Linked DNA regions of Danio rerio. The protein of the gene in region 1 interacts with the protein of each later gene in a pairwise test. Links are inferred from orthologs where the notes say so. Each region holds a gene or a part of one and is shown on either strand. Other genes may lie near its edges. The genes, in order: katnal1 and katnbl1.

What was found.
Region 2: the proteins of katnal1 (region 1) and katnbl1 interact in binary tests that used the Homo sapiens proteins (3 or more experiments, as listed by UniProt). The two-hybrid records come from large-scale screens. The link is inferred for Danio rerio from reciprocal best matches to the Homo sapiens genes KATNAL1 and KATNBL1.

Annotation. Positions count from the first base shown.
Region 1 is NC_133185.1:41,476,112-41,489,033, reverse strand, and holds the start of katnal1 (katanin p60 ATPase-containing subunit A-like 1), read left to right. Parts: upstream 1-5,005; 5' UTR 5,006-5,088; intron 5,089-9,581; 5' UTR 9,582-9,667; coding exon 9,668-9,829; intron 9,830-12,922. UniProt on the Homo sapiens protein: Regulates microtubule dynamics in Sertoli cells, a process that is essential for spermiogenesis and male fertility. Severs microtubules in an ATP-dependent manner, promoting rapid reorganization of cellular microtubule arrays.
Region 2 is NC_133195.1:31,939,700-31,952,789, forward strand, and holds the start of katnbl1 (KATNB1-like protein 1), read left to right. Parts: upstream 1-6,590; 5' UTR 6,591-6,690; exon of another isoform or gene 6,691-7,145; coding exon of another isoform or gene 7,146-7,149; intron 7,150-7,638; coding exon of another isoform or gene 7,639-7,649; coding exon 7,650-7,766; intron 7,767-9,518; coding exon 9,519-9,556; intron 9,557-9,932; coding exon 9,933-10,206; intron 10,207-10,587; coding exon 10,588-10,703; intron 10,704-11,846; coding exon 11,847-11,897; intron 11,898-12,004; coding exon 12,005-12,094; intron 12,095-12,184; coding exon 12,185-12,289; intron 12,290-12,375; coding exon 12,376-12,469; intron 12,470-12,568; coding exon 12,569-12,601; 3' UTR 12,602-13,090.

The DNA.
Region 1 (12,922 bases):
AAATAAATGAAACAAAATCCCACCTGGGATCATATACATTCCCTTTAGTTTCTGGCCCCCCATACTATATAAACTTCTATAATCAAAGTTAAACCAAATAATTTGTTCATTATTAAGGGCATCCGCTGTGTGAAATTAGAATAGTTGGCGGTTCATTGTGGCGATCTCTAAAATAGAGACTAAGCTAAAAGAAAATGAATGCATGTCTAATGTAAATCTGTTATGATTTGAACTTTTTATTGATTTTCTTATTTGCAAATATGCAGATGAATATCAAATACAGAGCATTAACATTAAAGCAGAACAATACAAAATAAAGAAATTAATTCCGTCATAACTGAGAAAATAAACCAAACCAAAACAAATACAAAAAAGAGGAAGGGTGGGTTGACAATAGCATATGCTTAATTATTATTTTGTCCCCTTACATATTTGGATTGTGGGTCACAGAAATTCAGAAATGGTCCCTATTCATCAAAATACATTTCAATCTTTCCATGTGGACTGTAGGAAAGATTTTGTTAAGCTGTTTTTATTATTAAAGACCAACTCATTCTAAGACCAATATGACTAAAGATTGCAAAAACAATGAGCTGGATTGATTGATGTGTATTTTTGTGCAGTATAATAATTGTAATATATATATATATATATATATATATATATATATATATATATATATATATATATATATATATATATATATATATATATATATATATGAATGTATGGTTTTAACACCACACACTGAGCCAGTTTTGAGGCCTTCGTGTGTTTTTCGTGACAAACACGGGCTTAAAAAGAGCACATGAACGAATCACCAGATGAAAATCTTGATTAATCCGAGCCGCCTGCTGTTCATCTGCTCAAACTGCATAGTTTTAGTGGTGTACAGCGCCACCAGACGAGTGTTTTGCGCCACTGTCATATGTTTATAGAGGCCGTGACTCTTCAATCTGATTATATCAGCTGCTCTCCGTCCATGCCATCATCATTTTCATGCCCTTATTTCTGAGCTTGGATTTCCTGTGGGTAGTATACAACTGCATAGATCCTGTGGTAAAGATACATTTGTTGATTACAAACTATATATTGGGGTCGAGGGGTTTTCAGTCAGTCAGTCAGTCAGTCAGTCAGTTAGTCAGTCATTCAGTCAGTCAGTCAGTCAGTCAGTCAGTCAGTCAGTCAGTCAGTCAGTCAATCAATCAATCAATCAAAATATAATTAACACCAATTGTTAGATTTACTTATTATTTATTTATTTATTTATTAGTATTTTGTATTTCTAATGTATCTTTATAGATTTATATTATGAACATATTTGTACTGTTTTAGTGTATTAAAAGCCTAAAAAGGATTACCCATTGGATAGAAACCATTGATGCAACGGGTGCTTTAAACTGTAGCAAAGTTACACTGCATTGTTCCAAACAGAAATAATAATAATAATAATAATAATAATAATAATAATAATAATAATAATAATACTATTTATAATGATAATATTAATGATAATAATGATAATAACAATAATATTAATAATAGTGATACTACTACTACTACTACAAAAAATAAAAAAATTAAAATAATAATAATAATGATAATAATAATATTAATAATAATTATACTACTACTACTACAACAAATTATAATAATACTCATTATAATAATAATGATAATAACAATAATAATGATAATAATAATAATAATTAACATGATGATAAAATAATAATAATAGTTTTAATAATATTTTAATAATATAAATAACAATAATAATAATAATAATAATAATAATAATAATAATAATAATAATAGTATTATTATTATTATTAATAACAATATTAAATAAATAAATAAATAAATAAATAAATAAATAAATAAATAAATAAATAAATAAATAAATAAATAATTTTGTGTGCATTAGAGTATAGCCAGTTTACTTGAAATAAAAAAAATCTGAAAAAAATGAGGGAAAAAATCCCTATCAAAGATTTTGGCAACAGTTTATCAAGGACACACAGTAAAATGTTCATCAGTGTAACTGATTATATGCCAAAAAGTCTTATATTTATACAGTTTTTTCTCAGTGGCTTTGGTGCATTTTTCACTACACTATTTACATTTGCACAACAGTTAATGCATTTCTCAAAACAATCAGTCATTTGTGCAGATCATAGTAGCAGTTTCTCATTCCTTTCAACACATTGCAAATGCTTTCGGACATGCATCAATTGCTTTTACACAACTCTCTGCTGTTTATAACATTATCATCTGCTTGTCATGTCAGTCATAATAAACTAAACGTGTGAATGCTGAATAGTCATTCCATATAGAACTAATAGTCCTCATTTCATTACTTGAGTCATTACATACAAAAATGTTGAACTTGTTGTCAAAATCTGTCAAGAAAATGTATTAACTTTTAAAAAATCAAAACTTTTAAAATGTATTTTTTTCTAAAAATGTCTTACAGTTTTTCTCAGTCGCTTTGCTGCATTTCTCACAACACTAGTGCATTGCATTTGCAATTACAAACTGCAAAACCTAGCTGATAACCTGCAAAAGCGTGTCACTTGCTCAAAATGGTTCATTCCTCAAAAGCAAGTATTGATGTCAATGAAAGTGTCAGTGTGATCAAGATGAAAAGTCATGACACCATTGTTTATGAACAAGATAGTCAAATGGCTTTGTCATGTTTTCATTATGACAGTTTACTCGGTACATTTTTTCCAATGCAATAGACAGACATTTGAAAACTACAGAATGTTTTACATGTTTACTGAATTTGCTCTTTACAATCCTAATTTATTCACAGCATTGTGCAGAACAGTAAATACACCCTTATTTACAACAAACATAAACTCCCTTTGGGTAGAGCTGTGCACAACTGTAGACAATATTGCAGAACATATTGGAACTGAACCTACAACACACAAAGGTCTGTAAATCATTCAGGAAATTGTTCAATTTAGAAGACACTTTCAGGAAAATAAAGATTTAATTTAAAAAAAAATAATACTTGCTATATTTTGAAAACTAGTTCAACATTTTTGTATGTAATGACTCAAGTAATGAAATGAGAACTATTACTTTTATATGGACTGACTATTCAGCATTTACAAGTTAAGTTACAGTTTTTCTCAGTCGCTTTGGTGCGTTTCTCACAACACCAGTGCATTTCTGTACAACAGTTAATGCATTTCTCAAAACAAAAAGTACAAACTGCAAAACCTAGCTGATAACCTGCAAAAGCGTGTCACTTGCTCGAATGGATAGTTCATTCCTCAAAAGCAAGTATCGATGTCAATGAAAGTGTCAGTATCATCAAGATGAAGAGTCCCGACACCATTGTTTATGAACAAGATAGTCAAATGGCTTTGTCATGTTTTCATTATGACAGTTTACTCTGGACATTTTTTCCAATAAAGTCAGCTTTTGGTGACACTTCCTGAAAATGCTCAAGACAGCACTATATGCTATTTGCACTGAAAATTGAAAACTACAGTAAAGTTAGACATCACTGCATTTAGTGAGGTATCTGAGAACAAGACACTGAATATGTATGTTTCACATGTTTACTGCATTTGCTCTTTGCATTTCTAATTTATTCACAGCATTGTGCAGAACAGTAAATACACCCTTATTTACAACAAGCATAAGCTTCCTTTGGGTAGAGCTGTGCACAACTGTAGACAATATTGCAGTACATATTGGAACTGAACCTACAACACAGCTCTGTAATTCATTTATGAAATTGTTCAATTTAGAAGACATTTTTAGAAAAATAAAGATTTAATTTTGTTTTATAAATTTGCTAGACAGATTTTGACAACTAGTTCAACATTTTTGTGTGTAATGACTCAAGTAATGAAAAGAGGACTATTAGTTCTATATGGAATGACTATTCAGCATTTACAAGTTTATTTAATTTTGACTGACATAACATAAGCAGATGATAATGTTATTAATAGCAGAGAGTTGTGTGAAAGCAACTGATGCATGTCCAAAAGCATTTGCAATGTGTTGGAAGGAATGAGAAACTGCTACTATGATCTGCACAAATGACTGATTGTTTTGAGAAATGCATAAACTGTTGTGCAAATGTAAATAGTGTTGTGAGAAACGCACCAAAGCCACTGAGAAAAACTGTAAATTAAACAATTTTCTGATTGATTTACAGACCTGTGTGTGTTGGTTCCGTTCCAATATGCACTGCAATATTGTCTACAGTTGTGCACAGCTCTACCCAAAGGGAGTTTATGTTTGTTGTAAATAAGGGTGTATTTACTGTTCTGCACAATGCTGTGAATAAATTAGAAATGCAAATGCAAATGCAGTAAACATGTGAAACATACATATTCAGTGTCTTGTTCTCAGATACCTCACTAAATGCAGTGATGTCTAACTTTACTGTAGTTTTCAATTTTCAGTGCAAATAGCATATAGTGCTGTCTTGAGCATTTTCAGGAAGTGTCACCAAAAGCTGACTTTATTGGAAAAAATGTTCAGAGTAAACTGTCATAATGAAAACATGACAAAGCCATTCGACTATCTTGTTCATAAACAATGGTGTCGGGACTCTTCATCTTGATGATACTGACACTTTCATTGACATCAATACTTGCTTTTGAGGAATGAACTATCCATTCGAGCAAGTGACACGCTTTTGCAGGTTATCAGCTAGGTTTTGCAGTTTGTACTAATTGTTTTGAGAAATGCATTAACTGTTGTACAAATGTAAATAGTGTTGTGAGAAATGCACCAAAGCAACTGAGAAAAACTGTAAACATACAGACACATGGACGGACGGACAGACAGATTAGATAGATAGATAGATAGATAGATAGATAGATAGATAGATAGATAGATAGATAGATAGATAGATAGATAGGACAAATACAGTTCGCTTAAAAATATCTAAATTGGATATTTTATAAAATATAGCCTAAATAAAGTGTACACAGGGTACCACAAGTCCCGCCCACAAGACATGCACTCACTCATCAGTGCGCGTCTTCCCGCGGCCATGGCAACATCAGCAGGCAACGGACTGAGGACCAGCCGAATGTAAAAGTGCCTTGAATAAAGGTAAGACATTTACTCATTGGCATGCAAATGAGGAATTAAACATTGAATGCATATATAATGTCGTACGTTCATAGAAGGACCCATAAACTAACATACTGACTTTATATTTAGTTTTCTTCCAAATCCTTTTTGTTATCGTTGGCCTAAATCTTGAGCGTCTTCCACTGTTGCCTTCTGGGTAATGTAGTTTGTTATTGCTGGTTTCATAGTGTGTCTGGGTTTAGGCACAACGGAAAAAACTACAAGTCCCTTGTCAAGGAAAACGAAAGGCGATGACGTTAGTGCTACTCTTACATGCAAGCAAGAATTGATATATTTGATTTACTAAGTAAAACATACTGAATTTGAATTACTAGTTTTGTGTTGTCACTTTAGATAATTTTGGTGGAAATACAGAAAAAAACACGCGACTAAAAAAAACACGAGGCGCCTGGGAAGGTAATTATTATGCGCCTCACGTCAGGTGTCCGACAAATGCTTTATTTTGACAGTCGCTTTGTTTGTGGTCAGGACAAAGGTTAGTATAACAGAGTTTAGTAGTGAGTGCAGATTTACATTCAGACCCAAATAGAAATCCTCTAATGTTGATTGTATTCAGTCAATCTCAAGTGTGCCGCAAGCCTGCGTTTGAGTGAAGGTCTCGGCCGTTAGATCGCCCCCTGGGGGCTGGCTGCAGTACAAGTCATAAAGCCCGCCTCCTCCGTGTTAATGAAGGAGACTTGAGCCCAAATAAAAAAATTAATTACACTTGCAATAAAATGTCCCGAAAGATGGTTTTGGTCGATTAAGGCACTGATTATTGTGCTGAAATAGGTGCAGATCCTCATTTTTGTAAACAGTTTGTTTTTAGCAGTAATTTAATGCTGGGCGTGTCATCGTGATTGACAGCTGTGATTGACAGTTTCTCAAAGCGCGGTGTCTGAGCTTCGGCAGAAGACTGAAGTGTTATTACTCGATTTCTGTGATATTTTACTATGACAAAATAAGTTCAGCAGTAAACTACAGTTTCTGACATACATGATCTGGTGGAACACTGTTTATTCGCTAAGGTCAGAGCTTTTTTCGGGCTTTATTAGTTTGCTAATACACGCCTAGCCACCCAGATAGCAAAATACACTGGGGCCAGTTCTTGCCTGCCGGAGACTTACCCCTCAGACTGACTACCTCTGCTGGACTTACTCCGGATGCCTGGACTCACTGCCCGATTCCAGCCATAGTCAATTGAGCCAGATGCGGCGGCCGAGCGAGCAGGCGCTGCCGCATGCGAGCCGGAATCAGCCCGCGACGCCGCAAGTAGGTTATGTGCGCTGCTGCCTGGAGCTGGCGCGATTGAATCTTCATTATATAAAACCCTCACATTTGTTAACGTTATTACAACCATTTTTGTTGATATAACAACAAACGCATGCTACTATGTGAACGCAAAGTGTATCACTGAGTTTAACCTTTGAATAAAGATGCAAACAGCATACATAGCAATTATTTAAATAAAGGACAAAATAAATAACAATAAACCTGTATATTGCACAAGTATTAAATATTAATACAATTGAATACATTTTGTAGTGCACAATTAAGAAATACGAAAATGACAATAAAACTGCACAATAAAATAAACCCATTTAAGTACGGGGAAAATACAGGAGATCGTTAGCAGTAATTCTCTTTGTGTCTAAATAATAATCTCCACGTTGATCTCCTGTAAGGTTATTTGAACTTGCTTTACAGGACGTCTCTGCATTTTAAGTTTTGGCATGTTATTAAGTAATAAACTGAATTTGCTGTTATAAATCATTATAAGGTTCTTGAAATCGAATCTTATATAACCTAATAGAGCTGTAAATTTTAGATATTATTTATTTACATCATTTACTGTTGCCGTTTTATTTGAACACTCCAGCTAACATGAAGGCATCGAATAAACCAAATGAAAACGGAGGCAAAAAAATTAAATAAATAAACAATTCAAGCGAAAATGAATAAACAATATACTAGTGATGTTGCAGCAGATAGACATTGTATTAATAGTGCAAAGTTTTTTTGCACAAATTGACAAATTGCAGGGTTGGGATGTGTAAATATCCTCTTGATATTTAAAAATCTTGCTGTATTTATCTTCTAAATGCACGATTTTCCCGCATGGTAAATCGTTATGTGTAGGCTATATTTTGGGTTCTGTTGATGGCTATTTAAAAATAAAAACCTTTCTAAAAATGTATGTGTTGTTTATATGTTATTGTTCATATTTTACCAGTGTTATTTCTACCCCTATGATGATAACAAATACCAACAACAAATATAACAATAAGAGAATATATTATTTGTGCTCATATTCAGGCTAGAGTGTATAAAAGATCGTTTATTTCTGCAGTCCAGCATGTATTGCTTTTATTAAAGTTTAACAGCTTACATCACACCGTTTTCAAACTGTATATTATTGTGTTTTTTAATGTAAGTGCTTCTATTTACATCAGTGAGCGTTTGTTATAGTGCAGACACCGGCAGTCGAGTGAGAAGTTCAGGGGGCGTGGTTGATTTTACATAAAGCGTTTGGTTGGAAGCTCGACTCCGCTCATTTTCGCGGCTCCTCCTCTGGCTCCATCAGACAGTCCTTCTGCGCATGTCAAGGCTCCAATTTCAGCAGTCTTTTGCGACAGTTTGTGCCCGTCAAGCAGGCGTTTTGCCCTCAAGGCGTTCAATGGGAAAAGGGGCTGTCGCGTCGTCCATATTTTTTACAGTCATTGGTCAATCTACATGGTACGGTAATGTCAGGTAATGTAAAAGTGGAGAAGACTGGCTTATTTATTCAAGACTCAGTTACTACTGTACGTTTTAAAACGTTATTACAATAAAACATCAAATTTATACACTTTAAGGAGACCAGGTCGGAAAAAAAAACACTTGAAATTGAACGTTGCAGTTTATCATGAATATATAAAAATGCCAAATATGCTGCATACTGTGAATGATAACATTTATATTTTGGGCTTTTTGGCTCTTCATAAAGTGTAAGGTTTAATGGAGTATAGTCTAGTGCAGGGGTGCCCAAACCTTTTCTTATGAAGGGCCAAAAACCTAACTTGAATGAGTGCAGTGGACCAAAGGTAAATTGACAGATACATAAATACACAAATAGTTAGACATATAGACAGACAGACATAGATTGATAGATAGACAGACAGATAGATAAATAGATAAATAGATAGATAGATAGATAGATAGATAGATAGATAGATAGATAGATAGATAGATAGATAGATACATAGACAGACAGACAGACAGATACATATATTACAGATATATAGATATATAGACAGACATACAGACACATATGTAAATGGATAGATAGATTGATTGATTCTCACTCTCTTCTCAGCTGGCATGGCAGGCCAAATCATAGTTTACCATGGGCAACTTTGTCCCGCGGACCCTAGTTTGGGCATCACTGGTCTAGTAGAAAGAAAACAAACTTTTAATCACAAAAGCCTACATATTTGTAGTTTTTACTCAAACTTTTTATATATCTTTACTTTGCATATGCTTGTATACAATTTTCCTTTTTATATACTGTATTTCCTACAAATAAATATTTATTTTTTGTCAATAATAATAAGCCTAGAGTGATAAAAGCGAGACACATTAATTCCCCTTTTTAAAATCACTTGACTCTAATATACGACTGATAAAAAGAGTAAAAAGAATTTTCATTAATTGATTTTCCTTCGACTTAGTCCTTGTATTACTATGGGGTCGCCACAGCGGAATGAACCGCCAATTATCCAGTATTACACAGCGGATGCTTTTCCAGCTGCATCCCGGTACTGGGAAACACCCATACACACTCACATTCACACTTATACACTACGGCCAATTTAGTCTATTCAATTTACCTGTACCGCGTGTCTTGGGACTGTGGAGCAAACCCACGCCAACACGGGGAGAACATGCAAACTTTACACAGAAACGCCAACTTACCCAGCCGGGACTCGAACCAGCAACCTTCTTGCTGTGAGATGACACTGAGCCACCGTGCTGCCCCCAAATGAATAATTATATAATATTATGCAAACAATATATGCAAATTAGTGACATTTTATTAAATTAAGCCTAATTTGCATATTTAAAGTAAACAATTTGAACAGAAAATCTGTAATACAAATAAAAGTTTGCAATTTTTGATGTAATCAGTCAATTGGGGAATAGCAGTAGTGTTTAAGAAAAAGCCTTTTACTCTTATCAGCTTCCATTTGTCACATTTATTTCATACGCAGCTTGTACAAATGTACACATACGCACATTTTCTATTTTCATATACTCAATGAATGTATATTTTCTCACACACCATTAACTGTTAACAATAAAAATGCAGTTACACACAGCCAAAACTAAACTGTATCTTGTATGCGTTTGAGCAGTCGAGACTGAGTAATTGTATCAGTGTAAATGATTGATTCAGCTCTGCATCATCTTATCAGCCTCTCTGTTCTCTTCAGGACTCATGGCCTGATATCAGCAGCTCTCAAACTAGAATCTCTGAACTCCAGTCGTGTTGAAGAAACATTCTGATTTCTCTCTCATCATGAATCTGACTGAGATCTGCGACAACGCTAAGAAAGGAAGAGAATACGCGCTTTTGGGGAACTATGACTCTTCTATGGTGTACTATCAAGGTGTTATACAGCAGATCCATAAGCACTGTCAGTCCCTCAGAGATCCTGCACAGAAAGTCAAATGGCAACAGGTAAAACTCTCTTATACTTTATAACTGTCTAACTGAATATGTATGAGTGATTGTTTATTTAATACCAAAATATATACAGCAGTGCTTCCCACACATAGACTTTACCTGGGTGGGCCGCCCAGGTAAATTTAGTGATTTTTTTTTTATTGTTATTAACATCCTTTACATTTTTTTTTGCATCCGCTCAATATAACCAAACATCTGCAGTTGATCAAGTAGTGGAAAATCTTCTCTCGTTTACCTGTTACGTTCTGTGCATGCGAGACTTGTCAACACTAGGAATGGGATGATAACCGTTTTCAAGGTATAAAGCGGTTTGGAAAAGTTAATGTTTTAAATCCGCCAACATTTTCTGTAGGACCGTTCCTAAGGTATAAGTAAGATTTTTTTATTTACAACAGAATTTTCAGCAGAAAAAGATGTCGTTTTAAATAGTAAAGAAATCTGTGTTTTTGAAAGAAATGAAGACAGCATAAGTCAATGATTGATTTGAATTTTTTAGCCTGACATGATTGCTGCTCCAAAATATTATAAGTCTTTCACAAAATAAAATATATTGTTTTCAAAGAGAGAAAGAGTTTTAGTTTTTTTTTTTTTACATTTAAAAAGAACATATTCAAGAGCAGTAATCACAATACCGTGATACCATGAAACCTTGATATTTTTGTCCAAGGTTATTACACAATCAGAACCGGCCCATGCCTAGTCAACACACACTGACGGTCTCGCGTGCTCTGCAGACCCACAGAGACATATTTTTTTGGGACTTAAAATTTGTCTGCCCCGGGTTTCTAAATCTCCTAAAATGTCTAAAAAGTCTACTTTTGCTTTTCCTCCTAAAGCTTGTATGCGTGTTTACATCACCTTTTTACTTAAGGCTATTCGCTTTGCTTCGCAATTTGCGAGAGAAACATTCAATGATTAATTTTTAAAATCTAAACAACTTTTACAAATTTTACAATATACGCGGAGAAAATGTACATCATTAGTAATGGTTAATCAACTCATTTGGCTTAATAATCTCCTTTTAATCTTGTAATTATGATCATTTTTAGAGATATTGACTTTTTTTTATTCCTTTTTCTGTTTTTTATTTCTCATTTGCTGATTATTTCATTAATGTGATGATGTTAATATGTTACATAGGCTATTTTATTTACTTATGTAAAATGCTTTGGCATTTAAGTTTGCTCTGAACTTGAAAGAAAGAGAGACGCAGATTTGACCTGTCAGCGGGTGCACATGGCTCCTGAATAGCATAAAAGTAAGAGAAATTGTGGATGTGTTCTTCTTTTTTATTTATTTTTTAATTTTTTACTTTACCCATTGAAACTTCACAGTGTATATTAAAATTATTGTTCAATTTAATTATATATTGTTTGTCTCATATAGTTAACTATTTATGTGATTTGGGTAAATGGTGTGTTTCAGTTTGTGGCTACCAGCTACCACTGAAAGTAAATTTCAAACCTGTGGGCACTGATACAGTTGAAGTTGAAATTTTTAAATCTCCTGGAAATTTCTTTTCTTTTCCAAATATTTTCCAAATATGTTTAACAGAGCAAGAACATTTTTACAGTATTTCCTATAATATTTTTCATCTGGAGCAAGTCTTATTTGTTTTATTTTGGCTAGAATAAAAGCAGTTCATGGTTTGTTTAAAACCATTTTAAGGAAAATTATTAGCCCCCTTTAGCCCATTTTTTTTTAGTCTACAAAACAAACCACTGTTATACAATAACTTGCCTAATTACCCTAATCTGCTTAGTTAGCCTAATTAACCTAGTTAAGCCTTTAAATGTATCTTAAGCTGTATACAGGCCCGGATTAAGAACTCAGGGGCCCCTGGGCACATTATCTTGTAAGGCCCCCTACCTGGCCGCACCCCTATAGTTGAATTTAAAAAATAAGAATAATAAAATAATTTTTAAATAAAATGAATCTATAATTTGTTGCCCACATATTTAAATAAATGATATATAGTACATATGTATTTATAGTCTGCAAAGATTTAAATTATTTTTCAAAGCATTAAATAAAAATACTAATAAAACTACATATATATATATATATATATATATATATATATATATATATATATATATATATATATATATATATATATATATATATATATATTTTTTTTTTTTTTTTTTAAGGGTATTTTAGTGTATTGGTTTTACAAACTTATAAAGCATATTATTGCCGTGGCATATAACGCACAATGCTTCTCCAATCCAGTTCTATGAATCTGAGTTCTATGAATCTGAGTCTTTCATAATACAAACACTGATTTACTGTCTCTCTCCTCCTCTCCCTGTATTTTCTCTACTCTTCTCGTGATGAAGACTTGATTATAAACCTAAAAGTATCCGAAATCACACACACTATACCTCTTCTCTTCCGTCTCTCTCCTCTTCTGGGCCTTTTCTCTCTCCCTCTCTCTCTCCCTTTCTGTCTGTCTTACACACGATGAATCCAGTCCGCGCTGCGCTGCCGTTAGCCTCCTCTGCCTGGTTAATGCTAGCTACTCATCATTTAAAGTTAACGTCTTCTTCTGTACCCTCATTCTCCTGATCACGGGTCTGTTTAAAGAAGGTGTGTATGGAAAATGCCTCAATAAAGATGCCTCCTCTCCTCTTTCTGTCGCGTTTGCTAAATCCACTTGTCCACTCATTTTTGATCTATGACAGATATAACGTTACACTAAAGTCCGCTCAGTTTAGTGCGGGTTATTACAAAACTGACGTTTCCGCACTTGACCAATTACAGCATTCTGTTTAGTTAAAGAAAGAAAGGCAATTTAAATATAATAATAATATTAATATTTGATCGCGATTTTTTTGCTCAGAGGAAATACAGTTGTCTAAGCAATAGAGTCTTTGAAGAGAGGGAGGCGCGGCAGGCGCCTATAATAAGGCTAAACATTATTAAATACCCACGAGACACTTGTGACTTTATATCACATTTGCATTATTTTTAAAAAATGTTTCTTTCCTGTTAAAAATAAATATATTTCCAATCTGATATGTAATGGGGAGAAAAAAAAATAGCACGAGTTCAACTGATGGTGGATTCGAACCGATGTTATGA
Region 2 (13,090 bases), on another chromosome or scaffold:
AAGTAAAAATAGTGACACACATTCAGCATTAATCCACACAGTGACGAAAGCTGAACTGTTTTGAAACTTGTCTGCTGCCTGTGTGTAGGAACAGCTGACGGTGGCCATACCAACGACAAACAGCAGTGATAAAACTGCTGTGATAAAACAAAGCAGCATACGTTTTCAACATAGTTTTAGATGTGATATGGGATTATAAAGCGTTAATTAGATACAGTACAAGCAGTTACAAGTAACAAAACACTATTAAATACATAATTTGCAAACTAGAGAAAACAAGAAAGCAACCATTTTAAATGCACTTACACATGTTAAATGGAGGAAGGAGCTGATCCATGCACTGATAAAGTTCCTGTCAAGCTCTGACAAAGTCCCATTCATCACTTGTCTTTTTTTTATCCTTCCTTTAACAAACGGCTGACGAATCCCCTGTTATAAGCATGTAGATTGCTGAAGCACTCGTCAGAAAAATGACAGGAACACAGCACAAGGCTGGGGCTATAATGCTGAGGTATTTTTGCAAAAATAAACTTCAGCTACTGACTCTTCATAGCCTCATCTTTGGGTAGGGAAAATAACACTAACTTTCCCTCACACTTCAGAGCACAGCATCTTCATGACATGATTTAATTGGGATTTGCTACAGTGCTTGTCTTCCTTTTTTTCTTTCTACAGTGTTGTGGGCAGGGCCGGGGGTTTCAATTTTTCTGGGTCTGAGCGCGCAACAAATGGACGGGCATAAGTGTCCATATGGACATAATGCCGACACGGCTTAAGACTCGTTACCTTGGCTATTCATTCGAACCACTATGAGTCGACTCTTTTATAGATTAATCAATAGTTTTAAACATGGTGCATTTTCAGATTTAAGCCTAGCTGGATATTTCACTTTACGTAGAGCTGTGTTACACGCTGTAGGAAATGTCATTTTCAAAAACCCATAATAGGGGCTCTTTAATGAATATTTTGCTCATTCCTTTTAAAAAAATTTAAATGTTCATAGATTTACAAAAATCTTTCATAAAGGCCTATTTAAACCAAGAACAATAACTGTAATACTTGTTCTAAATCCACAATTGTGTACAATGGTACAGAAGTGCAACATCACAGGAATCATTTTCAGAAAATATTTCACTTGAAACACTTTCATTTTTTTGGTCTTTAAAAACATGATAAATGGCCCTCATAACACATCATAAATAAATTGCCAAACAAATTAAAGATTTTTTATAGCTAAAACTGTTGTAGTTTATAAAAAATATGTCTGACTCCTTGATTCTGATTGGTTGAACCAATTAAAAATCATGTACTGCCTAAACTTAGAAAGCAGCACATATGGTTGATAAACAGTATTTCAAAGTATGTCCTTATTAGCTTATTAATCTGTCTGAGTTTCGGTCTGGTGCTCCAGGCATGTGTGACAACAACCCATACTGGACCCTGCTGGAATAAAAAATGGCATGTGCTGTTGGTTTGACACATTGTTGCTAGTTCCTTGCTGGTTTAAGCTGGTTCTTGCTGGTCATAAGCTGCATGGTCATTAAACCAGTAGTCATGTGTCAAACCTACCATTTTTGTTTTGTTTTGTTTTGTTTTGTTCCAACAAGGAAGCTCCTGCTCATGCCACTATTGACAGACCTGCATTCAATATGCTCTTGATACACTCAGTCAAAAAGGTAGCCTACAAAACTTGTAACTGGGGGAGTACCTTTTCAAAACATATTTTGTACTGGTCCACATTAGTACTTTAAGGATATATTTTTTGTAACTTTAAGGTATCATGAGGTACTCATTTGTACATTTTAGGTACTAATTTGTATGTTGAACGTCCTTGACATGATAGGTACAATAGTGTATCTTTTACAAATGTACTACCTCTATGACCTATTGTATCTCTATTTCAGATAGTGTAAATCCTCCTGATCAACTAAAAAAATAAAATAAAATAAAATACAAATGGCTGAATCAGGAAGATAGCACTTGTGCCAGAATGAATGCCAGTTGAATTAATATTGTCCTCATTGCCTGCCAATTATGCCTTATGAACATTAAAATATAGTAATGTACTGTATGTAATGTATGATTAGGAAAAATGAGCACTGACTGACTTTGAATATGACTTTCGCCACTACAGATTTTGAACGTTGAGACATCACTAGGTAGACACTAGGCCTATAGACAGAAGCTAAATATACCACAATCTCAAAAGTGTATATATTCTTAATTAGGTTTAATGTCAGGTTAACCAAACAAAGATGAGTTCAGAGGTCAGAGTTTATTTTTAGGTTAGCACATAGGGTCAGGGAGTTTTTAAAGACACAAAAGACTGCGGGTTAAACTGTCACATTATTTGAGGTTTGCATTATTTTGATGTTTCCCTTGTTTAAACAAATTGCAATATGTACCAGGAATTATGGTTACGCCACAGAAACGTTTCTGATTGAGCTGAGACAGACAGCTGATAAATAAGCTCGCCCGCATTCATTTTCGCTTCAACGGCGCCACAACGCCATCTGGTGGCTGCATGAAATGTGTTTTGGTTTTGGAAGCCGTCCAGAAGACACTTAAAATTAATTATCCTAGATCAGTTTTGCCAGTTTTGGACATACTGTACCATCCAGCAAATCTTACCTTTGGCAACAGGAAAGAAAGCCAGCTGAAAGATGATCTCAACAGATATTGACTAATATTTCTTTTGTGAATGTCAGTCCTACAAGTCAGCACATGGAACTATAAGTGAAAAGAGGATTTCTTACATTTTAACTGACTACATAAATCATTAACATATTACTGTCTCTAAGACACAAAGGCTTGACTATTCGTAACTTGCTTTTCTTTAGATGTCTTTGTATTAGCATGCTGCTAGTGCTAGCAATTTATACATTTAGGCTACTACATTTATAGCCCTGCTAATCTTTCATATTTTTATATTTTTTACATCCTAAGCAGCCTGGTTCCAGGTTTTGTCATTAGAGGTGAACTGGAGATGAAGAGGAGAACAGATGAGCATTGCAGGAAAAGAGATGTGAACTTGTTGTGTCAGACACATTTCTCCTCATGTTACATCACAGGTGGAGGTCTGTCATGCTAAAGCAGAGATGCCCAGACTAGGGCCTGCACACCAAAGTTGGCCCGTGGTAACCTTTGATTTGGCCCACCATCCCATCTGGAGGAATGATGGGGATGGTTTAAAGATTGTCATTTAAACCTTTTATTGTTTTTTAATGACATTTTGTTTAACATGTACATACTGTCACCTGATGAATCGAGGACAATGCAGAGATGTGTGTGAATCAAGGCAAAGGCAGATTCTACTTGCACTAAACTACACTTATAAATGTGATTTTTTTTTTTTTTTTTGCAATATGTTATAATTACAGTTAGTTTATATGATTTAAAGTGATGTTTTCTATTTATTTATAAATATTATAAAATTAATTTGAAAATAATGCAAATTTATCTTTGGCCTATGGCTATGATGATATTTGGATTTTGGCCCTTCATATGAAAATGTTTGGCCACCCCTGTGCTAAAGCATTTGCGAATGTCTTATTGGGCATCCATTTAAGGATAAAATATTACACGCTCGAATATTTTAAGTATCAGATGTCAGTTTGAGTGCTTACCTGCTTCAAATGAAAGATTATTTGGCATAGCAACTCGGCCTCCTTCACAGATATTATATCATCACCTACAAATATAATATGTGGTTATAACATCTGGGTAAAGCAGATCAAACCATCTGTTTCCATGTGCTTACAATCTGTTTATTTACTAAAGATTGAGTGCTACGACAGACTAGTACATTTTTGTGTTAGACTTCGAAACTGTGTCTTAATCACAGTAAAATAGAAGCCAAGCTCACACATTCAATTCCCAGAAAATGTCTGAAGAGAGAAAATGTTAATCTGAATTAAGAGCCCGATACAAAACATCTGACAAATTCTTATTACTATTTTTTTTCACAAATTTTCAGCACTTTTATTCAGAAAGTTTGAATTTCATTTTAATTTCTAATAACTGTTGGTAAATGGGACTTCTTTAAAAATAAATTTATACTGTGACATATTGAAATGCAACCTTTTTTTTTGTAATTGAAACCAAAAATCCTTTTTAAAAAATGTATTTGTGCCTGTGTAAAAAGTCAAGTGAACTGAATGGCATTTTTCCGATATTTTATTTCCTGGAAGTGCTGTGAAGAATGTATTTTTGTTCCCAAGTGTCTGCCCCTTTTATTCCAATAAAAACTAAGGAAGTAAAGTCTGTTTATCTTTAGATGACTTTTTTTTTTTTTTTTTTTGGTTAGGCTATTTTTATTCATATTGAAATGGTAGCTATTACTGCAGTCTAATAGTGACTCTTGAAAGAGCAACTATGATTATTATTTTTATAGAACGAATTGCACAACCCAAATAACGATGCAGCTGCTTGGTGAATTTTTGTGGCTGTCTGAATATGAGTCCTGATGTCGGCTATTTTATTCAGTTTTCCCGATCAGTTATTTTTTTAACTGTGGTGAGATTTGTCTTCAATGACACATTCTTCAAGAAATGCGTCAATTTCTTGTGCTTAACTTCAGGAATAATTGTAGGACAGATTAAAAAAAATTACGGTTGCCTACTGCATGCGTGCTGTTTCTGTACATTACTGAAAGTTTCAGTTAAGTCCCCAAATCTTGCTTTCATATATTAACTTACACCAGTCTTATGGCAGTATTCACAACACTGTTCAATTGCTGATTTATTTATGAGTCAGCCTCACAGCAAGAAGGTTGCTGGTTCGAGTCCTGGGCCATTTCGCTGAACCACCAACTTATCCAGCACGTTTTTACGCAGCGGATGCCCTACGAGTCGCAACCCATCTCTGGGAAACATCCACACACACACACACACACACACACACACATTCATACACTACGGACAATTTAGTCTACCCAATTCACCTGTACTGCATGTCTTTGGACTGTGGGTGATACCGGAGCACCCGGAGGAAACCCACACAAACGCAGGGAGAACATGCAAACTCCACACAGAAATGCCAACTGAGCCAAGGTTCGAACCAGCGACCATCTTGCTGTGAGGTGACAGCACTACCTACTGCACCCCTACATCGCTTGTCTATAGTGTATGTGTGTGAATGAGGGTATATGGAGGTTTCATAGTACTGGGTTGCAGCTGGAAGGGCATCCACTGTGTAAAACATATACTGGATAAGTTGGCGGTTTATTCCGCTGTGGTGACCCCTGAAGAAAAATAAATGAATCTCTGTGTCCCTTTATTACAGTTTGTGGTTTCATGAAGTTTTTCAGGACCTAATGATCACATCAGCGCCGATTGATTGTTATCACCTTTCTTAACTTCTTTGAACTTAAGGTCATGAGATGCTAAAGGATCTTAAGCTAACAAACATCCATTCTAACAAGGTTTTTCCTGTAGATTAAAGTGTAATTAGTGATAACTAAGGACCCTTTATTTGTAACTTTTTCATCTTCCTTGAGTACATTTCTGTTCTTTATCACTGTGAGTAGGTTTGATCATCAAAACCAGTGATGTCAAGCACTTAGCAAACCTCCATGGAGGGCCACAGTAAGATAAATAAAAAAATCAGAGAATGATCTTTTGCCTGCTCCAAAAAAGTCACATAAAGGCACATAAAAAAGTCAGTCAGAAATTGCTTGTAAATTGCTTTTCTACAAATACAAAAAACTAAATCAATGAAAAATTATATTGCATTGTATATGGTGGAATGGTGGAGGCCTTATAAATATTTTGGGGTTGTAATCTAAACAAAACTGATCAAAGAAACTTTTGTAAAATAAAAGGTTTTCTGACACTTCTAAGCCAATAAAGAACCTTGATTTGTTTATTTATTTATTTTATTATTTTGTTTTTTATTATTATTATTGTTGTCAAATGGGTTGAGAACACTCATTTACAGTTAATGTGTTAAAAAAGTTTGAAATAGTTAAGATAAATCTGGATATTTATTATTCATTTTCCTTCAGCCTAGTACCTTTATTTATCAGGGGTCGCCACAACAGAATGAACCGCCAACTTTCATATGTTTTACACAGCGGATGCCCTTCCAGCTGCAACACAGTAGTAGGAAACATCTGTATACACACTCATTCACACACATACACTTTACAGCCAATTTAGTTTATTCAGTTCACCTGTACCGCATGTCTTTTGACTGTGGGGCAAACCGGAGCAACCTAAGGATACCTATGCGAACACAGGGAGAACATGCAAACTCCACAAAGAAATGCCAACTGACCCAGTCGGGACTCGAACCAGTAACCTTCTTGCTGTGGTGCTAACCAGTGAGCCACCATGTTGCGTAAGTCTGTAAATTTACAGTTAATAAAAATTTTTCTTTTCTTTTCTGTTGTATTATTATTAACTTTAATTACATAAAGCTATAGTTTGGAAAGATGTTGCTTCTAAAAATACTTCAAACAAATGTTAGCTTTCCAAAAGGAAGCTGATTCATTGTGCCCCACCAGATGTCGCTAAACCTTCAATCCTGCTGCTTCACCCATCCCAGCATTTCAAGTTTGTATTTATTTGAATGGTCCTTCCTTTCCTCTGAAATCCACTCAAATTCCCGTTTCTTCCTGGTTGCGCGTGGACACACTCTCGGATATATAACGTGCTCTAGGATGCACAGACAACTTTACACAATGCTATGGTGGGTGTTTACGAAATACGCTGGGCTGGCAACGTTTAACAAGTTATATGTTGTGTACGTGCTAAGTCCTTGTTTGCTAGCAGGTGATTAGCTAGACTTGTTTGCTTATCAGCTAGCTATCTCGTGTGTTTTCATCACCTGCTTTGATATAGGGACCACTGTGTGAGTGTCGAGTAATCTCTAGTTTTGTCTTTTGCAATTTAAGTTAGTTAAAGATTGGCGACTGTACGGTAAAGTGTGGTTGGCTTAATTAGCTCGCTAGCGCTAACAAACCCTACACCTAAACAACAACGTCACATCACTGGAGGCCTAAAGCTCCGTCTGACAGATGTCTAGACGTTTACTAGGAATGCTAGCTTATTAATTTGAAATATTTAAGTTGGATTTAATTGAACCGGTTCGTAGATTCACCCTCTTCCTCTGACTCAGCGTAACGTGCTACGTGGTAAGACCCTATGGGTAAGACGTCCGTTTGAAAATACAGAGCATCCTATTTGTATCTGATAACGAACTATGGGTTATTTGCAAGACACGAATAATATAACATGTTTGTATATATAGTATTTTTTAGTATAAGTTTATATTAAGATAATGAAACCCAGTCCTAATTAAAGGGTATTAACGAGTATAGAACCTTAGCATATGTTCCCGTCTTGCTTTTTGGCAACCAAATAACAACCTTCCAGCAACCCTTTCGGATTTTTTGTGATCAAAACCTTTTTCTTTTATTTTGTGGTAAATCTAACGAAAACATTGTTTCATTCTTAATGTTATTACTTTAATAAAGATCATTTGACTAGTTTTATTGAGAAACTGATTGTTGTCATACACTCTAAAAGAGAAGCTATACAATTGAGGCTTTGAGCAAACAAACTGCAGCTGTTTGCTTTAACAACACCATGTATCCTGCCCTGTGCCAAATATATATATTTTTCCATTGTACTCTAGAGTCCATTATTATGGCCACTGGAAGTCATGTTGGAAGTAATGCAGAAGTCCACAGGCTCAAGCAGGCTCAGCCCCATGACCTTCTCAAACGTATGCTTTGTTCTGGAGATGAGAAGAACATGAGGGAGGTAAGACCATTTCATTCACACAGACAGTGGTTTGTTATGCATATTCATGGTGGTGTTCGTTTCGTTTTTTAGTTATGAAAAATATTCAGTGTTTTTAGCTGGAATACACTGCCCAATATTTGTCCAATTTTACGGTCTTGATGTTTAAGCATTATATGTAGAAGTTCAAAGGCAGTCTGCAGTGTTTTTGGCAGTCATAGAAGCTCACATGATAGGCTCAAACAAGGTAATTGTTGGTAAAAGAAGATATGTATTTCTGTTTTGGAGCATTTTAGTGCATAGCTATTGCAATGTGTGTGCGCGAAATAGTCACATCGCAGAGTGTGCAATGTTGAGATATATAGTTGACTAGGAGAGACTGTTCAGAACACATTAGGTTTGTTGGGCCACTGGAGAGTTTAACCATGATGGAGTGAAAGTTTATAATATGCATGTTTTTGTGAGCATTTTAATAAATTTAAGAATGAAATTCAGTAATCTGGCACAATAAATGTTACTGTTTGTAACTTTAATAAACATTAATTTAATTGATTTATGCAGAGTTTTGTGCTGTTGTTCATTTGATTATTTAATTTCTGTGCCTGAATACTGCTAGACTCTCCAGGAAACCATAATGTACTGTTGATTTCACTTTTTATCTTTGCTCTGTTGTATTTATCTTTGCTTGTCATTTGTTTGCTACATGTAATGCATGATTCACTCTCCTAAATAATCATCCCAATCAATCTAAAATGAATAAACTCTTCTCAAATAGAGCTTCTGCTTAAATTGTAATTGCAATATACAGGGGGTCCGTGATGTCTTAAAGTCTTAAAATGTCTTAAATTTAAAAAACAAAATTTAAGGCAATAAAAAAATCTTAGTTTCTGTATAATGATGAATCGTATATCTTAAATTATTTTAATCAGGTCTTAATTTTCCTATGTCCAGGAAAAGCTACCCTATCGGCCTGACACCCAATCACAAATAATCCATCTAAACTTTTCTTTTATTTTTATGCTTTTTTATTATTGCAAAGAGATACAATTCACAACAACTGGTAAACATTTTACAGTGAATGCTCCAAATTAAATTCCCTATTCAGAGAAAGACAACTAAGCAGCACATCCCTTTACATGATCTTCCATTAATACAAAAACTATTTACAGAAATAACCGGCCTATTGGGAAAAAATCTTTATTTTAACCCTGTATAAGTCTAAAATTTCATTCATAATTGACTTAAAAAGTCCTAATTTTGACCTGAAAAATAAATATTGCAACAAATTATCACAATGTCTATTTTTCTCCAATATGGCCCTATATCAGTGACTATGCGGGTTTCATTCTAAAATGATCACAAAAACCAAAAAGTCACTGTAACAAAAACGTTTCCTTGTTTTCAGATACATTTATTTACAGCCAACTTGATGTTATAACTTGAGCAGAGTTAGGAAAGCAATGTTTAGTATCAATTACAACAAAAGTTGACTTTTCATTTTTTTGAAACGACAGCAAAAAATTGTCTAAATGACAATATATTTATTTAAAATTTGGGGGAATATGATGTTATACAATAAATCAATTCAGAAAAAAATGTTTTTTTTTATTGCTCTCTAGTCTGGTAATTTATTGTTTGCTTCCCACTTTTTTTTTTCTGGTCACCTAGAAAGTTTGATACCTACTGTTTTTAAATCTATTCAGATTTTAAGCATTGTGTCATGTAATCCAGCTTTTAGTAACACAACTTTTTAACTGTTGTCTCTTTTTTTAGGTGGATTATTTACTGAAGGACGAAACTGATCAAGAGAGGTATGTTTTTGAACTATACAGTAGCTTACTTTTACAAATTGAGGTAAAATTGGATTTATATTCGCACATTTGTTCAGTGACAACTTATTGACACAGTCTCTATATTGTTTACAACTCTACTTTGAATATTCTGTCTCAAATCACAAGTGAGTATGTCTTGAAATCAATGTTAGCACTAATTAATTGCTTGAACAATGTTGTACTTTTATAGTTATTCACTACTAATATGATTTCACTCTTTAGAATTTGCAAAAAGTACTATTCTGAAATTATTTTTAAGGAGAAAGCCTGAATGTGTGAATATAAAACCAACTTTACCTCAATCTTTTACAAGTCAGTTTTAAAGTATGAGATTGTGTTCTGCTCAATTACACAGATTTCCAGTGGGCCGTTGTGTGCACAAATACAGCAAAACGAAGAGAGAGGTGGTTGGCAAGAAGAAAACTCGTCTCTCTGGGGTGGGACCAAGAGCATGTCGGAAATTGCCCACCACAAGCAGGACATCTGACATGGCAAACAAAGAAAACGAACTGACCTGCGTTGATGAAGTGCAGGCTTTTCTTTACAGTGACAACTGTGGGTTCCCAGTGAACTCCACAGACGCAAAAATGGCAGGAGCTGGCTCCAAATACAGCGATTATTTTACTGAGGTGAGCTAATGCTGTTTTATGTGAAGCCTACAGGTGTGTTCCAAATTATACACTACACACTGTTCTTTTTACACTTTAGTTTGTTATTTTTACATCGTAAGACCCTCCACTTTTTAATTCAAGCTCCATCAGTTGAACACTTTTTTTTAATAAATTTTTTTTTTTTACATTAGTGTATCATCCACATTTTTGAAAGTGCACTATTTTTACTTTTCGTAATTGTGAATGCAATGTTTGCTCTATTCCAAAAAATGGCATAGAATATGCTTTTATAATTGTCTATGATATAGTCTTCAGGCTATCATGTTTGCAGTGTATCTGTCATGGCAAACTGATTTGAAAATGGTATTATTTATACTAACTTAATTTGTTGAATTTCAGTTATCAAAGGACCATGAAGCAATGAGTCATGTGCTCTTCGGAAGGAATCTCAGACTGAATGTTGCTTTGACTCTTTGGCGGAAAAATGCAAGCGAACTAGTGGCATACTTAAACAGGTTAGCAGTTTCACATTTAGTGGAATGAAGTTCAAATTAATCAGAAAACTGACTGGTAAACATTTTTTCATCATTAAAAAGGTTGCATTTAGTTGATCAAAAGTCATTGTAATCTTGCTTTTACTTAAGAAATGACTGTTACAAAGTTAGGCATCTCAGCTGTTTTTAAGGTTTTGTACTAATACATTTTAGAAAATCACCATGTTCGAATAATTGGATTCTATGATTCACGATTACACAAGAACTGATTGACTGCTGTACATTCAGTTTAGGTTGTTTTATAATTTCTAGACATTTTTATATCACCATTTCACTGCATTTTTATGTAATTAATCCTGCCTTGCTAAGCATAAAAGGCAAATTAAATATCACATGCAACTATAGATTTATTTAAAAATAAATGCAGTGCTCAACATGCACATTAGATAGTCAGTACTGAAGACAAATCTGGATAACAGTCCAAAATGAATACAACCAAACTTAAATGTTAAGCAAAAATATTGAATAAAACATTTAACAATAGCAAAAAAAAAAAAAGAAAAAAAATGATTTAAACAAACTATATAATATTTTGCATGAATTTCAATGTATTATCTTTATATTTCTAAAGGTGTTCGTTGACTAAAATATCATTCATTCATTTTCTTTTTGGCTCAGTCCCTTTATTAATCTGGAGTTGCAACAGCGTAATGAACCGCCAACTTATCCATCATTTGTTTTTTGCAACAGATGCTCTTCCAGCTGAAACCCATCACTGATATCCATACACACTCATTATTACACATACACTACAGACAATTTAGCTTACCCAGTTCACCTATAGTGCATGTCTTTGGACTGGAGGAAATCCACACAAACACAGGGAGAACATGCCAACGACACAGCCGAGGCTCAAACCAGTGACCATCTTGCTGTGAGGCAATCGTGCTACCCACTGTGCCACAGACTAAAATATTTTTTTAATAAATAAATCTGTTTTGTTCAAATGCCCCAATATATATTACCTATATTCACTGAGAAATGGATATAATTATTCATTTTCATAATGGGATGTATTCATTTTTGTTGAGCACTGTATATGTGTGTATTTATTTATTTTTTTAAATTGAAATGCTGCATGCATATAATTATTTTTATTTACAGAATACAAGACACGGGGGTGCTTGTTGACTGTTTGCCTGTACTTACTAAAAGGTACCGTAGCCTATTTAAAAACCTTTTTCACAACATGTAAATTTATTCAAAGTTTGTCACCGATGTAATAGGAAGACATTTATCTTCATGACAGTTTCTTTTTTTAGTCTTCAGGGAGAACAGCCATGCATTTCACTGGGCTGTTGTGTTGATCTTTTTCCACAAGTGAAAATGATTCTTAACACTAAATATGAAGAGTGAGTATTCTGTCCTTTGCCTTGTGCATTCTGATGTACTCTTACTGTTTGTTGTAGTTCTACCTAAATTGGACTTCATCTTTGTTCTAGACACCTCATCGTAGCTTTACACTGGGTTCAATCTATCATTAAGAAATGGTGGTCTGAGCTCTCCACAAACAACAAAAGTTTGCCCGAGAGCAGTTCAAACGACAGGTGTGTTATTTCTACCTTTACTGAGGTTAAATGGCAAAACATCTTAGAGAAATTTGCTAAACACTCAACATGCTTGTATCTAACAGGAATGTTCAGGCAATGAAGACAATGCTGCTTGAACTGTGGCAAGGAAAGAGTCACTTAAGCTCAGTTCCAGGAACTGTAGGAGAAACTGCAAAGGTGGATAATTCAATCATCAACTTTGTAAAGTGAAAGACTGCAGTGTTTTACAAAAAATGTGTCTTGCCTATTTCCTTATCCTCTTGTTTTCTTTCACAGGTCATCGAATCATATGTGTCACAACTGCGCTGATGTATCAATGTAGCACACTAAGGAGAAAACCACTATAAACTCTTGGTGTATTTTAAGCTCTTGAGGTTGATGAATCTGAACTCAGTAGACTGTGGTGAATTGGGGGTAGATGAACTGAACAATTCAGACACTCCAATTTCAGCACTGGAGGAGGAACTCTTCCTGCAGGCACCGAATGACTGCTTCACATTGAAGTGGACTTGCTTAGGGGCACATAATCAACTCCATGAGACTCTCTGGAATCAGGCGACTCACTGAAGTGCCAAGCAGACGTTTTAACTGTTGCACTTGTAGTGCCATGGTGTGAATCTGCTTAAGTGGATGTGATTGTGTAAGTGTACCTTTATCGGATGTTTTTTCAGTCACGCACTTGAATTGCAGGAGTTTTAAGTTATTAGTGTTGTTTTTGTTTTGTCGTCTGTTGCCTGATCGTGAATGAATATTTGAGTGTCATGTGTACATAGTGATTTTTCTTTTAATCGGCTTTCA